Linked DNA regions of Drosophila melanogaster. The protein of the gene in region 1 interacts with the protein of each later gene in a pairwise test. Each region holds a gene or a part of one and is shown in the gene's direction. Other genes may lie near its edges.

Region 1 (8,086 bases):
GGCAGTTCCTCTTCTGGTAGATACCAGCAGCAGGATCAGCAAGGCGGATCGCATCGTGGTAGTCGCAGCAACTATCACTCAAACTCCGATGGCAGCTACAATCGATCAATAAACTCAAACTCCGTGGGAGGAGGAGGGTCTGGGGCAGTCGGCTCTGGAAGCGGTGGCAGCAATTATCGCTCCGCCCGCAACTACGAGAACGGCAATGGGAGCAACGGCACACAGCCACGTTACGGCAGCGGCAACGGGAACGGCAACAGCAGCAATTCCAACTCTTCATCCGGTTACAACGGATCTGCAGCAAGCTCAACCAACAGCAAGTCGTCGTATGGGGCTTCGCGCGGTGGCAACGATGGAGGCGTGAGTAGCGGATACAGCAGCAACTACCGCGACAACTACGAGGATTCACCATCGCACCAGCGCTACAACAACACCAACAGCCTAGAGCGAAACGGAGGAGGCGGATCAGGGGCAGGAGCGAGCGGAGGACCCCGCAGCTACGGCAGGTCTGACGCAGATCGTTACGGCGGAACCCCGTCCAGTCGCACACCCAATCTTCGCAACGGCAGTGCGTCTGCTCAGATCTCTGGCTCCACTTCCAATTCTTCGAACATTTCTCTGAACTCCGGATCAGCGTCGGCCGCAGGAGGAGGCACTCCTCATTCTCAACAGCAGCAGGAACGATCACAGGCTGGCAAGGCAAGCACACCGCCACCGATCACCGGACGCTGGATACCACCATCGTTGCGTCCACAGCATGGACTCACCCAAAGCGAAAAGAACGACGCCGTCTTCCGGCGTGTGAGGGGTATTTTGAACAAGCTAACGCCCGAGAAGTTCCAGGAACTGAGCGATGAACTGTTGAAGCTGGATCTTAACTCTATTGCTATTTTGAAAGGCGTGATTTTGCTGATATTCGACAAGGCCTTAGACGAGCCGAAGTACTCGTCTATGTATGCGCAGCTGTGCAAGCGACTTTCCGAGGAAGCCCCGTCATTCGACAAGGAACCAAGCAATTCGTCCACCTTCTTACGCCTGCTGATCGCGGTCTGCCGCGACAAGTTCAACAACCGACTCAAGCGCGACGAGAACGACAACAGACCTCCGCCTGAAAATGAGGCCGACGAGGAGGAGCGCCGCCATTTGGCCAAACAGCGCATGCTCGGCAACGTCAAATTCATCGGAGAGCTCAACAAGCTGGACATGCTGTCGAAGAACGTGCTGCATCAGTGCATCATGGAGCTATTTGACAAGAAGAAGAAGCGTACGGCCGGTACGCAGGAAATGTGCGAGGACATGGAATGCCTGGCTCAACTGCTCAAGACTTGCGGCAAGAATCTGGATTCAGAACAGGGCAAAGAGCTGATGAACCAGTACTTCGAGAAGCTTGAACGTCGGTCAAAATCATCTGAATATCCACCGCGGATACGTTTTATGCTAAAGGACGTAATTGAATTGCGCCAGAACAATTGGGTGCCGCGCAAATTGGGCACCACCGAAGGCCCCGTCCCCATAAAGCAAATACGCTCGGATGACGACTCAATCATACGCACTCCGTTCCCCAATCGCAATCGTGATATGCGCAACAATGATCGTGACTCGGACAGCTGGATGAATCGTTTCCATCTGAATATCCAGCCTGGCGGCTATAATGACATGTTTAGCGGACTGAGTGTTACGGGAGCTTCTCCGATTGTCTCGCCGTAAGTATTGTGAACGTCATGGGAGTAATGAACACACTTTTGTCTGGTCGGGTGTATAGTTTGAATAGTAGTCACATTATATTAAATTCTTTGAAAGTACAAAACCTAATTTTAAACAATTTCAGGTTCGCTACGAGCAATCGTGACCGAGACCGCGACAATCGCCAGTACAACAATCGAGGCGATCGCAACAGGGATCGCGATCAGGGCGGTAGCGGCGGAGCTAACTATGGCAATCGCTACAACAAGCACAACCAGAATGGAGGAGGCAGTGGCGGAGGATCCTCCAACAACCGGGACCGGGATGATTCGCGTAGGAATAACGATCGTGACAGGGATCGCAATGACGGACAGTATGGGGGCAATCAGCTGCTGGGTAGTAAGGAATTGGCACCGAGGTTCAAACGCAACTTGATCACCACGAACCAGGATGCGGTGGAGAACTTGCAAATGCGCCCGGCAGCCAACTCCTTGCTCTTCCGAGCGGCCTCCCAGAACCAAAAGTTTCCGGCTACGTTGCCCATGTCAACACCGCCCAATAGCAGCGGCAGCAACAACCAGGGCAGCTCGCAGGGCCAGCTCTCGAACTCCCACTACCCTATGCTCGGCACGCCCACATCCCATCTGATCAATCCAACGCGTCCCTCGTCAACACCATCTGCTGAGTATGCTGATAACCGAACTCTTTTGGGAGTTCAACAGGAGAGGGGATTGAAGGCCACCTCTTCTTCGCCGAACTTTTCATCAGGAGCGGAGAAGTTGGATTTAGACGGTCAGGCGGGCAGAAAGGGATCGCACGACGGCAAAGATCAGGGCAAGAATGGCTCCGTGGAGAGACCAAGCACTCCGGCCGGCGGTATTGGCTCGGCCAAGCAACAAAAGAAAGATAAGGGTCCCAACAAGGAGGAGCTGTCTAAGAAGGCCAGTCAGTACTTCAAGGATAGGTTCTACTACGATGAGGAGGAGGATGCAGAGGTGACGGAAATTGAGATCAAGGATATTGATGAGACAAAGACGGAGGAGGCCGACGCTGCTCCAGTTGAAGTCTCGGAGGTAAAGGAAGATGCTGCAATACCTGTGACCACTCCAGATCGCTTCACCAAGCTTGTAGATGGTTTCCTCGAGCTTAAGCTGCCAGAGAAGGCGCTGAAGGATGTGTGCATCAATCTGCTGATGGAGGTCTTGGACCGTGTAAACGATGTCTTCTTGGAGCGTGCTGTGCGCCTTCTGCAGACATTGCGCAAGCAATCCAATATCAAGCCGAACATCGTGGTCGAGATTTTCAAGCAGGTGGTCAACAAGATGAACGAGCGAGAGGCACTCAATCCCCGAATCGTTAGTCTTGTAGCCAGCTTGCTGGCAAAGACAATTTGCGAGCCAGCATTGCTGAAGTTAAGCGATATCGCCAACTTCACGGACAATGGCCAACACTATCCGCTGTTCCTGCTCGTGCTGCAGCAACTGGTCAAGGTCATCGGCAAGGATGCGCTGGAAGAGAAATTCCGGGCGAGCAAAGTTGATCTTATGAACAGCCTGCCGGAGGCGGATCGGAACAAGGAGCGCTTGGCCGGGATACTCGAGGATCGCAAGCTTTCTTTCCTTTATCCGCTATTGAAGGTACAGGCCGAGATGCTAAAACAGCTGCAAAGCGACCCGAACCCCAACAACTTCTACAAGTGGATCAAGGCCAACGTTGACAACAAATACTACAAGGACCCGGGCTTTATCCAAGCCCTAATGACCGTGGTGGTCAAGTATGTGACCAAGGAGACGACGCTGGCGGACAACCTCGACCCCAAGGAGCACCCTGAGAAATCGGTGACCCAGAAGGAGCAACAGCTGCTGGAGAACTACAGCCAGATGCTGCAGACCTTCCTGGGACAGAACGAGCTTCAGTTGATGGCTCTCTATGCTCTGCAAACGTTCTGCTACAATGAAAATTTCCCCAAGGGTAAGTGCTCAACATTTTAAATCTAATCTGTTTTATCGGCAACTTATATTTGCTTTTTTCTTCGTTAGGCATGCTGTGCCGTTGGTTCAAGTATCTTTACGAATCTGAAATTATAGAGGAGGAGGCATTCGTCCTGTGGAAGGAGGAGATTTCCGACAAATATCCAGGCAAAGGATCCGCTTTGTTCCAAGTGAACGCCTGGTTGACTTGGCTGCAGGAGGCCGAATCTGAGGACGATGAGGATTAGAAAGCAACGCAGTCCCGCATAATAACAGCGCTATATGTTTATCACTTCCAATATTTATTCACAAATCGATAATGATTACATGATGAAAAACAACAAAACTAACAAAACACGAAAAATAAGAAACAAAATACCATCAGGGTGGAAGTTTGAAATCGCGGTTGCAAAACTTAGTCAAATTATAGTAAAAAAGAAAAACAAAACAAAAAAAATTAATCAAAATTATTTGATATCCAACAAATTCAAAGAACATTAACAATCAATTATCAATAAATAAAGCGCAATAGACGTCAAATATAACCGATATTTATCCATACATCATAATTCTCATTGACATTTCAAGCATAACGAATAATTAGTGAATTTCATCTTTTTTTTTTAACATAACAACCGGAACTGATCTTTAAATCGAATAACGTTGATTTCAATTGCCTTTTTTTGGTACTCTCGACGATTTCCCTTTTGTGTATTTAAATAAGTAGGTCAAATCAAAGCGACAACATTAACATTATAGAAAAGGAAAAACCAATCGACGCGCGCCGAAGAGAGCAAAACAAAATCTGAATGTAATTGTGAACAAAATATCGTATATATGTATTTAACTCAACCAACGTAAACATTAAAAAACTCGCCCACATTAAATAGAGCCTTAATAAATGCAACCAACACTGCGAACGGCGAAATCAAACTGACTTTCATTGGCTTTTGAGGGAGTAATGCAAATTTAAAATCCGCGCCTAAGCTCTGTAATAGCTGCCTATCGATACAATTTTCGATTATTTTGAAAAGCTATCTATGGTCGTTTCGTTATCTGGCAACACCGCTCCGGTCAAACTTGCTATTTCATTGTTTTCCTTGTGAATATTGCTTGTTTATGTATAAAATTCACGACTAATGGATAGCGTTCCTGCGAATGTTGTGCCTGCGAAGGAGTCTGGTGGTTTCACCTCACATTGCGTCCACTTGGCGGCGGGTCCCTCGCAATTCACCGTGCGCGCCCTGAAAATGCAAGGCAGCACCATGCTGATCATAAACCCCAAGGGATTGGAGGTTTTCGAGGAGCTAGCGGTGGCCATGCCCTCTCGCAATCCCGCCAGCAGCCAGTCCCTATCCTCCACAATCCTGGGCGGACACGGGCAGACCGACTCATCTGTTCTGGCCGCCAAATTGAGTAAACGCTACTGCCGCCAGTTCTACGTGAGCCTTAATCTCAAACTGGATCGATTAATGGGCCCTCTGTTCGAGAAGACGCTAGTCACCTACATGCAAGACCATCTGGAGCACTTCGCTTGAGTGGGTACAACAACTTAGTGTGGCATAAATTTAATCCTCAATCGCTGACTTATTTCTGGTTCACGTGCACACAGGGCCCGCCTGCGCTACCGATGACACGGCGCCGCGTGGGGGTCAACGTCTATTTCGGGGACCGGCGGCTACCCCACGGACGCAGCTTCACGTACTCTACGCACTCCATCAGCTAACTATCTGGGATCTCCGATTCCCGATCTCCGCTCAGACGTCATGCGGCGGCCGAGTGAGCACGAACTTTAAACGTGTATCGGTGATACGAATTTTGTACAATAAATTTATTGCCCTAAGTAAGTTTACAGACGCATGTGGGCTTTATCAATTGTGTCGCGATAGCAGTGCTCAATGTAAGAAGAAGTCACCCGCTGTGTGAGTGATCGCGTGCCACCCGCATGCTATTCATGCTGCTGCTTCACCACCCAATGATTTGAAGGTCAGTTTGGCTGCAGTGATGATCGCTTGATAGGTGATTTCCCCGCCATCGTATTAAATTCGAATATACATATGTGTGTGTTCGCATTGCGCCGGTTTGTTCATCAGGCCTCCGTTTCGGTTTCCCTTTCGAATGAATGTTTAGGTTTAGGGAGAAGTTAATATGTAATAATCATTCGGAAGTTTTCCAAATGGGTACCATTTCAGTTTGATCACTGAATACCTCTGACAAATAATATCATTAGATTTGTTTTTATGTTGTTAATTTGAACTATTCGAAAAGTTAGTAGGATACCACTATCAAATGTATGTATTAACTAGCGGGTTTACAATTCACAATGTGATTAACAAGCTTCTAAATTTGTGTGAATAATACTGGTTGAAAATATTATATCTCTTGTTACAGTTCGTTTAGCTTTTGAAAAAATGATATTGGTGATGACTGACTATAGGAACTCTCAACTTTACTAATTACCCACGAGCAAAAAGTTGATGTCACTTCCTGCATGAGTTCCCAATTATAATGATTGCGATATCCAAAATATCCAAGTCACTATTCACTATTTCAGAATGGTTCTATGTCACAGAAAGTCTGCAACTTGAACAGTTTGATACTCAGGTATAGATAGTTGAAGGACCAACGCGACACCTTCATAATGCCCTTTATCTATCGGCATTCTCAGACTGAAAGTTGGCTATACTTCCTGCCCGCCAATCGTAAATATAAATCGGTTGATAAGACGTCTGAATTACCCCCGCCAAGAATGCCAGTCATATTTTTAATGGAACAGCCCCCAGCAGCGTTGTGCTATGGTTGTGTTGGATCACACCGCCTGGAGGTGCCATTGAAACTTTTCCGCTAAACAACCCAATGGGAGGGAGGGAGCAGCAACAAAATGAAAAACACTAATGTACGAAAAAAACAAATTTCGCCTCTCATAATAATGCCCAGTCTAGACGAGATATTGTCAGGCGTATCAGTGGTGGTAACAGCGACAAGAGCATATCGCTCCAAAAAAAAAATAGCAGCACCCATTGAACGGGTATAAAAATAGAGCTTCAGCCGGAAGGTCTGCGCTCCGGGGTCTGTGGGCTCCCACGAATGTCTGGAATGTTTTTTTCCCCCGTTTTTTTTTTTCTGCTTTTGGTTTCCCCAGTTGCCTAATAACTTTTCCTTTTTGGCCATATCAAAAGCTGTCTGGCGATAAGCGCCCTATAAATAATAGATCCGAGTCGGCCGAATTCGAGCAGCCATCTGTAATTATCGGGTCGGAATGTGAGTGCGAGTAGTTGTGGCTTCCATGCCTCGGTTGCATGTCCCTGGCTTGGATGACTGGCTGGCCCGGCTGGCGGTACATGGACTTTGGAAGTCTATCGTTGGCGGCAACAAAGTAATTAGCCTTCTGCGGGACTACCATAGTCATATCAGCGCCCCCAGTGGGTTCCCACTGCAGCGATAAGCCGGCTGGACTACGCGTGGAACCTTCTCCGCGGCGGCTGCTGCTGCTATTTCTGCTGCTGCTGCTGCTGCTGCAAATGTGCATCTTGGCTGATAAACCCCTAGGTTCAGGCGCACGCCCACCGGTCAAGCTGGAGCGCGGAACGGAACGAAACGGTTCGGATCGAATAGAATCGAATCGGAGATCCCAATCCGAATCTGCTGCGAGGGCTTATCGGACCACCAGACCACCTTTGCCAGCCATCCAGACCCCTCCGGTTATCGGTCGAGTGTTGTTAATTTGATAGAAATATTGAACATCATTGCGCCCGACGGACTGCACCCTGCCATTCCGGTTCGATCCGGATCGCCGCCGAGTGTCTATACGCCTAGTTTGGTGCCGATTTGTTATTATTTACGCCGAGATTCGGACCACGGAAAATTAATAAGCGCACACGCTCAGCTCCCCAACGGGAGCTCGCGCCATACAAAGTTCACACAGCCAGTCAGAAAATCCGGATTTTTTTTACTCATTTTCTGCGCGGCTTTAATTGCCGGCAAGCGGCAAAAAACATAAAAATTAGGTTGCGCCTGGGGTCCTTCATCGCCTGTCTTCGATTTGGGGAGGCGATACGGACCCAAGGCCGTGCTTTTGGAAGATTCCGCTGAACTGACCTCGCCATGCGCGACTGTACCTCGGCTCGATTGTCCGGCGGAGCAGTTGTGGTCCGATTATGCCCCCTATCTATTTATAAATCATGATTCGCCATCTGGTGGGGGAACTGGACTGGAGTGGAATGGGTACGGGTACGGGGATGGGAATGGGAATGGGAATGGGTACTGCGATGTGCAATTGGCAATGAGTCCGCTTCCACGACCACAACCACGTTCGCCTCCACCTGTCGCACTGCTGATAGAGGGCAAGGGCTTATCAAAGTCCCTGATGTCAGGTTGTCTCTTTACGTAAGCCAGGGACCCCACTCGTTGGCCCGTGCACAGGGACGGATTAC
Region 2 (5,441 bases), on another chromosome or scaffold:
GATGTTGAGAATTCCACATAGAACGAGTAAATTTGATTAGGTTGGACAGAAAGAAATCATATTTTGGAAATCATATTCATATTCATATAATAAATAAATATTTCGATTCTCAAAAAACTTCTTCTTTTCGTTCAGTATATTGTGTATCTGTGTCCGATTCAAGTGTTTGAATTCCTCGGCTGAGTTCCTTTTTTCGGGCTCTTCTGCTGCGCTTCGATCACTGGAATTTTAAAACCGGATGCGTGTCATTCCTCTGCCCCTCCAAGCCCGAAAATCCAGGGGCATCAGGAATGCGGCTGCTGCTTCCTGCGGTTCATCTCCCTCCTCCGCTCCTCTGGACTCCTCTGGGTTCGAATCTGGTCTTAGTTCTTGGCTCGTCTCCATGCCATCTAATTTTTCTATGCCCATAATTTGTACTTCCCGCCTACCTCTTTTGCACGGGACCTAATTTGTAGATTCCTCCGCTGCTGCGGTTGCTGGTATCGACTGACTGGCCTCTAGCAGGTATAGGTGTATACTCGCCATATGGAAAGGGTCTTCCGGTATAGTTTGAATTGGTTAGGTTCGGGGTACGAGGCGATTACCATGGATACCTGGTCGGCCAAAACATTAATTACTTTGCAGTGCGCCTGTTCCGGTCCCTGGGGAGTCACCCTGTTGGGACACCCTGACTATACCTCTCTGTAAATCTACCTAAATTTTTAATGTTAATTTGAGCTTAATATAACCAACTTGTTTCTTGGTTTGTCTTCCGGGATGCATCTGCATCTCCTCTGCTTTCTGCTTTTTGGGAAGTTTAGGTCTTAATCTAGATATTAACTTCTATCTGATAGATTAGGCAGTGTTCACGTTTAATTTTATTAACTAAAGCCACATAAAAATGCATCGGAATAGAGTTTAATATTTTCACTGGTGTATCATTAATGTGAGTGACACACTAATTTCTATGATATTTTATTATTTAGGGTCTCTGCAGCCAATCGTAGATGGGGTCTAAGCCCACTTTGGTGACGGCGCTGGCCTCCACGATGGTCACCTGCTGGCGGATCTGTTTTTGCAACTTCTGCATCTGCAGCATGAGCAGAGCCTCGTTTCGCATCTGGCGGTAGGAGTAATCCATTTTGGCCAGTACCAACAGGATCTTAGTATTATGCCTGCGACGAATTTAACTAGTGCATGAGCTTTCAGTTCATTTCCACCTTACTTACTGCAGACGCGGCTCGGTGAGGATTGAATAGAAAAGAACGCCGGCGGCTGAAATCTGACAGAGATTAGAGGTGTCCACGACGTAGATCAGCTTCTTGACATCCTCGAAATACTGCCTCCACAAGGGGGCCATACTCCCTCCAATTTCCAGGATCTGTATGGACTTGGGCAGATTTTTACCGCCATGAGGAATGTTAGCTGGAGCTTCTGAGGGAGGAGGCTTATTTTTATCCCCATTTGGCGATTTTGTTGGGAAATGGATTCGGTAAATCCCAGTGCCAATGGTGGGCATGGAAAACGTGGTCTCATCGATGGATTCCGGATCCTGTAAAGCTTTCAAAAGGTGCGTTTTGCCCGCTCTTTTGGGGCCCAAGCAAATGCAGGTGGACATTTTTGCTTTTACTTGGATTTTATTTATGGATCTAACAAAGGTAGCCTTGGTTACCAAAGTTTATTAATTAATTAATTAAATTAAAATTGTAAAAGTTAGTTCAGTAAGCACGTACATGTTGTTATTTCTGGCTTATTTTATATATAAAATATTTACAAATGGTTGAACATTTAATATCAATCGCGTAATCGAAATCTTGTGTCAGTAGTTCAATTATTTTCTGCATGATGGCGCTCTCAGGAAATCAGTGCAAACGTTTGAACTGCGTGCTTCGGGAGTCACGAAACTCGGAACCATTCGGCCACACTTCATATTAGCACATCAATGCATAATGACTATCGATAAAACATCGATGTATTTTTCATCGTTTTTTCATGCTGTCTCATCGTAAACAATATCAACATTGTTAAACGCTTTTAAATTCTCTCAAAAAATGAACCACACAGCAAACAAACCTCGACAAATCGGATTCGACAGGCAGTTCTCAGCGGACGTGAACGGCGTTCCCACGGAGATAGTGTTCCACTGCTTTGCCAAGAAGTGGTTCTTAGTCATAACGCAGCTCGGCAAGATTCCCGGCATCTACAACGTGCACTTCGATGTCAAAAAGGACGAAAGAGTGGTTCCCTATTTGCACGGACCCGTGGACAATCCGGAGTTCCACGTATCGGTGCCAATCACGATGAACTGCTGCTTGGGCTTGGACACCGACGAGACTCGCAGCGCCATACAGTTTCTGGTCAACAGAACCGGACTCCACAAGTGCCCGACGGAGTTCGTGGTGGGCTTGGGTCTCAAGAAAATCGACGGACCCAATCTTCGTGCCCTAGCTAAGGTCCTCGAGGAGACGTTATTCTAGTCTGCGTTCGTTATATCCAATAAATATTAGCTGTGACAGTTTTTGTAAAAAAAACCTTGAACATTTTAATCGTAGCCTTCAACCCGGCTGACCAAATTATTGGCCATTCTACTGCAACCTCTTTCATGTGCTTAAAAACCCAAAATAGAATCTACTCACAAAAAGGCAGTGGAATGACCAATAACATAGTAAACCATAATAATTCTGCACCGTTGTGAAAGGAATGAGTCTCGATAATTTTTTAGCAAACGTCTTCTATATTTCCTCACATTTGTACATTAAAAACGTGTACGCAGGTCGGGAAACGGGTACACGTCCACCTCTCGAGGATTACAGCACAAACACAACGGATGTCCGGTTGTCGAGAAGTTCTCTAGAGGATTTAGTCGAACAGACCGAAGCCCATGTCGTCGTCAGACTGGTCGGACTCCTCCTCCTTCTTCTTCTCCTCCTTCTTGGACTCGGCGGCTGGAGCAGCGGCGGCGGCAGCAGGGGCAGCACCACCGGCGGGAGCGGCACCAACTCCGGATCCGATGTTGGTGATCAGGTCCTTGACGTTGATGCCCTCCAGGGCCTTGGCGAAGAGACCGGGCCAGTAGGGCTCCACCTCGACGTTGGCGGCCTTCAGGATGGTGTTGATCTTCTCACCCTGGTGAATCCAAAAAATAAGATCAGCACAAGTTGCAGCAGTGCGAAAGAAACCATAGGACCCGCAAATTGTCCAATACTTCCGGCCGATGGCCGCGGCTTTGGAGGATTTGCTTCGTCCCCGATTGCAATATCGAAAAACTTACGGTGACGGCGACATCGTCATCGACGAGGATGAGGGAGGCGTAGACGCAGGCGAGCTCGGCTTTGGTGGACATGTCGAAGTGCTGTGGCTAATCACTGATTGTGCAAGTTGCCAAAAATTAATTGTTTATAACAAATGGCCTTAGCTCGGGACGAGAACAAGCACGCTGGTCAAAATCCTAAACCGGAAAGAGCAGTTGATATGCAGTGTGACCGCGCCGATGACGAAGAAAAATACCAACCGTCTATGAAAATTTGCATATTATTGTCAGGAAATACTAGGTAGAGGAAAACTCGTTCAAACTGCCGAGATTATCTCTTATTTAAACTAGTTTATTTTTAAGCATCTTGGACAGAAGCCTTAGCATAATTCTCTGGTTATATGTTTATCTCTCTATTTTAATAAAAGACCTTTCCGTACGGTTATTGAGAATATTAAAAAAAAGATATTTTGGTATAATGACGAATGAGTCACACTGCAACTTTATGTATACAATTAGTGTGCCCATAGCGTCGTTTAAACGTAAACAAAAAAAAAGCGCGCGAAAATGTCGGACCAAGAAGACGTAGTTGTAAAAAAAGAAAAAAAATGTATAGAAAATATTGATGAGAACGACGAAGAGCCCGATGATGTAGATTTTAAGGACAGCGGAAAAATAAGCTCCTTGAAGGCCCTGGGTCCATTTATAGCCGGCAAGGAGAATAGCCGCAACACGGTTTACCTCAGCGATGTTCCGGATATTTGCAAGGATAAGCCGTGCATGCTGGGCGTGGACGAAGCAGGGCGTGGTCCCGTCCTGGGACCTATGGTATATGGGATCTCCTACTGTCCACTGGAAAGTAACAAGGCTTTAGAGGACCTGGGATGCGCCGATTCCAAACAACTAACCGAGGGGAAACGTGATATCATATTTAACGATATCAACACCAAGGAATATGCGACCAGTTGCGTTGGCTGGGCCGTGGAGATCATATCGCCGAACACGATCAGCACCAGCATGTACCGGCGGTCGAAGTGCTCCCTGAACGAAGTTTCCATGGACTCGGCCATGGGCCTTATCCAACAGGCGATCGATGCGGGCGTCAATATAGCCGAGGTTTATGTGGATACGGTGGGTCCGCCGGAGAAGTACCAGGAGAAGTTGCTCAAACGTTTCCCCAGCTTTAAAATCACCGTGGCGAAAAAAGCTGACTCCACCTATCCAATAGTCTCTGCTGCTAGTATATGCGCCAAAGTTACCCGTGATCATGCCCTCAAGGTGTGGAGCTTCCCCGAGGGCTTGGTCATTAAGGACAACGAGTTCGGCAGTGGATATCCGGGAGATCCGGTCACAAGAAGATTTCTGACCGAGTACATCGATCTAGTGTTTGGATTTCCACGACTTGTGCGCTTCAGTTGGTCCACCGCGGAAAACGCACTGGCGGACAAGGCCTATGACATGGAGTTCGACGAGCCGGATTCCGAGAAGCCCAAGTACGCCGGCACCAAGCTCACAAAGTTCTTTAAGGGCACAACAAAATCCGGCGAAATAATTCGCGAGGAGTGCCGCTTCTTTAAGCAACGCCATCTGGAAAGTGTCATGGAGTTTTAGCAACAAATGAAAATAAAATTAAGTTCAGGAGTATCTATATTTACAAAGAATAAAGTTTAATTTAAGTACTTTAGTATTAAATTTTAAAATGCTAAAATACAAAAAACACCCAGGCCCAAAACGAAAACAGATTAATTTTTATCTTTAATGTATTTTTGCTGATGTTCTTGTGTTTCCGCCAATCTCGTGTTCTTAATAATTACGTTCGATTACTGACTACGTGGGACTGCAGTTACACTGTTCTGAATGTATGCGTGAATCGGTCTGATCTGATCTCTTGGCATCCCTTTTTTGGAGGACAACTGTGGAATTGGGTAAAGGACTTTTGGTGGGGAGGGCGGGGAGTTGGCTGGCATCTTTGATCGATACAATAACAAAATGCAAAGTTATACTAAACGATTTTCGTATAAAAAGGGACGACCTTAGAAACATGGAGCTTATGATTAAGATTAAAATGAGGCGAGTCGCATCCCGCTGATCTGAAGAGAACAACAACCATGTTGAAGCCCCCAAAAATCCCAGGTGCATATCGATATTTTGTGACTCGAAACTAAGCGTACGAAATAGACGTGGACAAAAGCGGGAGGATCTCATCTCAAGA

What was found.
Region 2: the proteins of CG13319 (region 1) and CG11885 interact in a two-hybrid assay, tested with the Drosophila melanogaster proteins (2 studies listed by BioGRID).

Annotation. Positions count from the first base shown.
Region 1 is NT_033778.4:12,919,157-12,927,242, forward strand, and holds CG13319 (uncharacterized protein), read left to right. Parts: upstream 1-4,747; 5' UTR 4,748-4,792; coding exon 4,793-5,191; 3' UTR 5,192-5,195; intron 5,196-5,265; 3' UTR 5,266-5,508; downstream 5,509-8,086. Other genes in the region: NAT1, read left to right, coding at 952-1,703, 1,829-3,654, 3,723-3,901.
Region 2 is NT_033779.5:417,956-423,396, reverse strand, and holds CG11885 (uncharacterized protein), read left to right. Parts: upstream 1-1,946; 5' UTR 1,947-2,030; coding exon 2,031-2,456; 3' UTR 2,457-2,502; downstream 2,503-5,441. Other genes in the region: CG13692 (uncharacterized protein), read right to left, coding at 962-1,154, 1,209-1,597; RpLP1 (ribosomal protein LP1), read right to left, coding at 2,839-3,105, 3,251-3,322; CG13690 (uncharacterized protein), read left to right, coding at 3,797-4,840.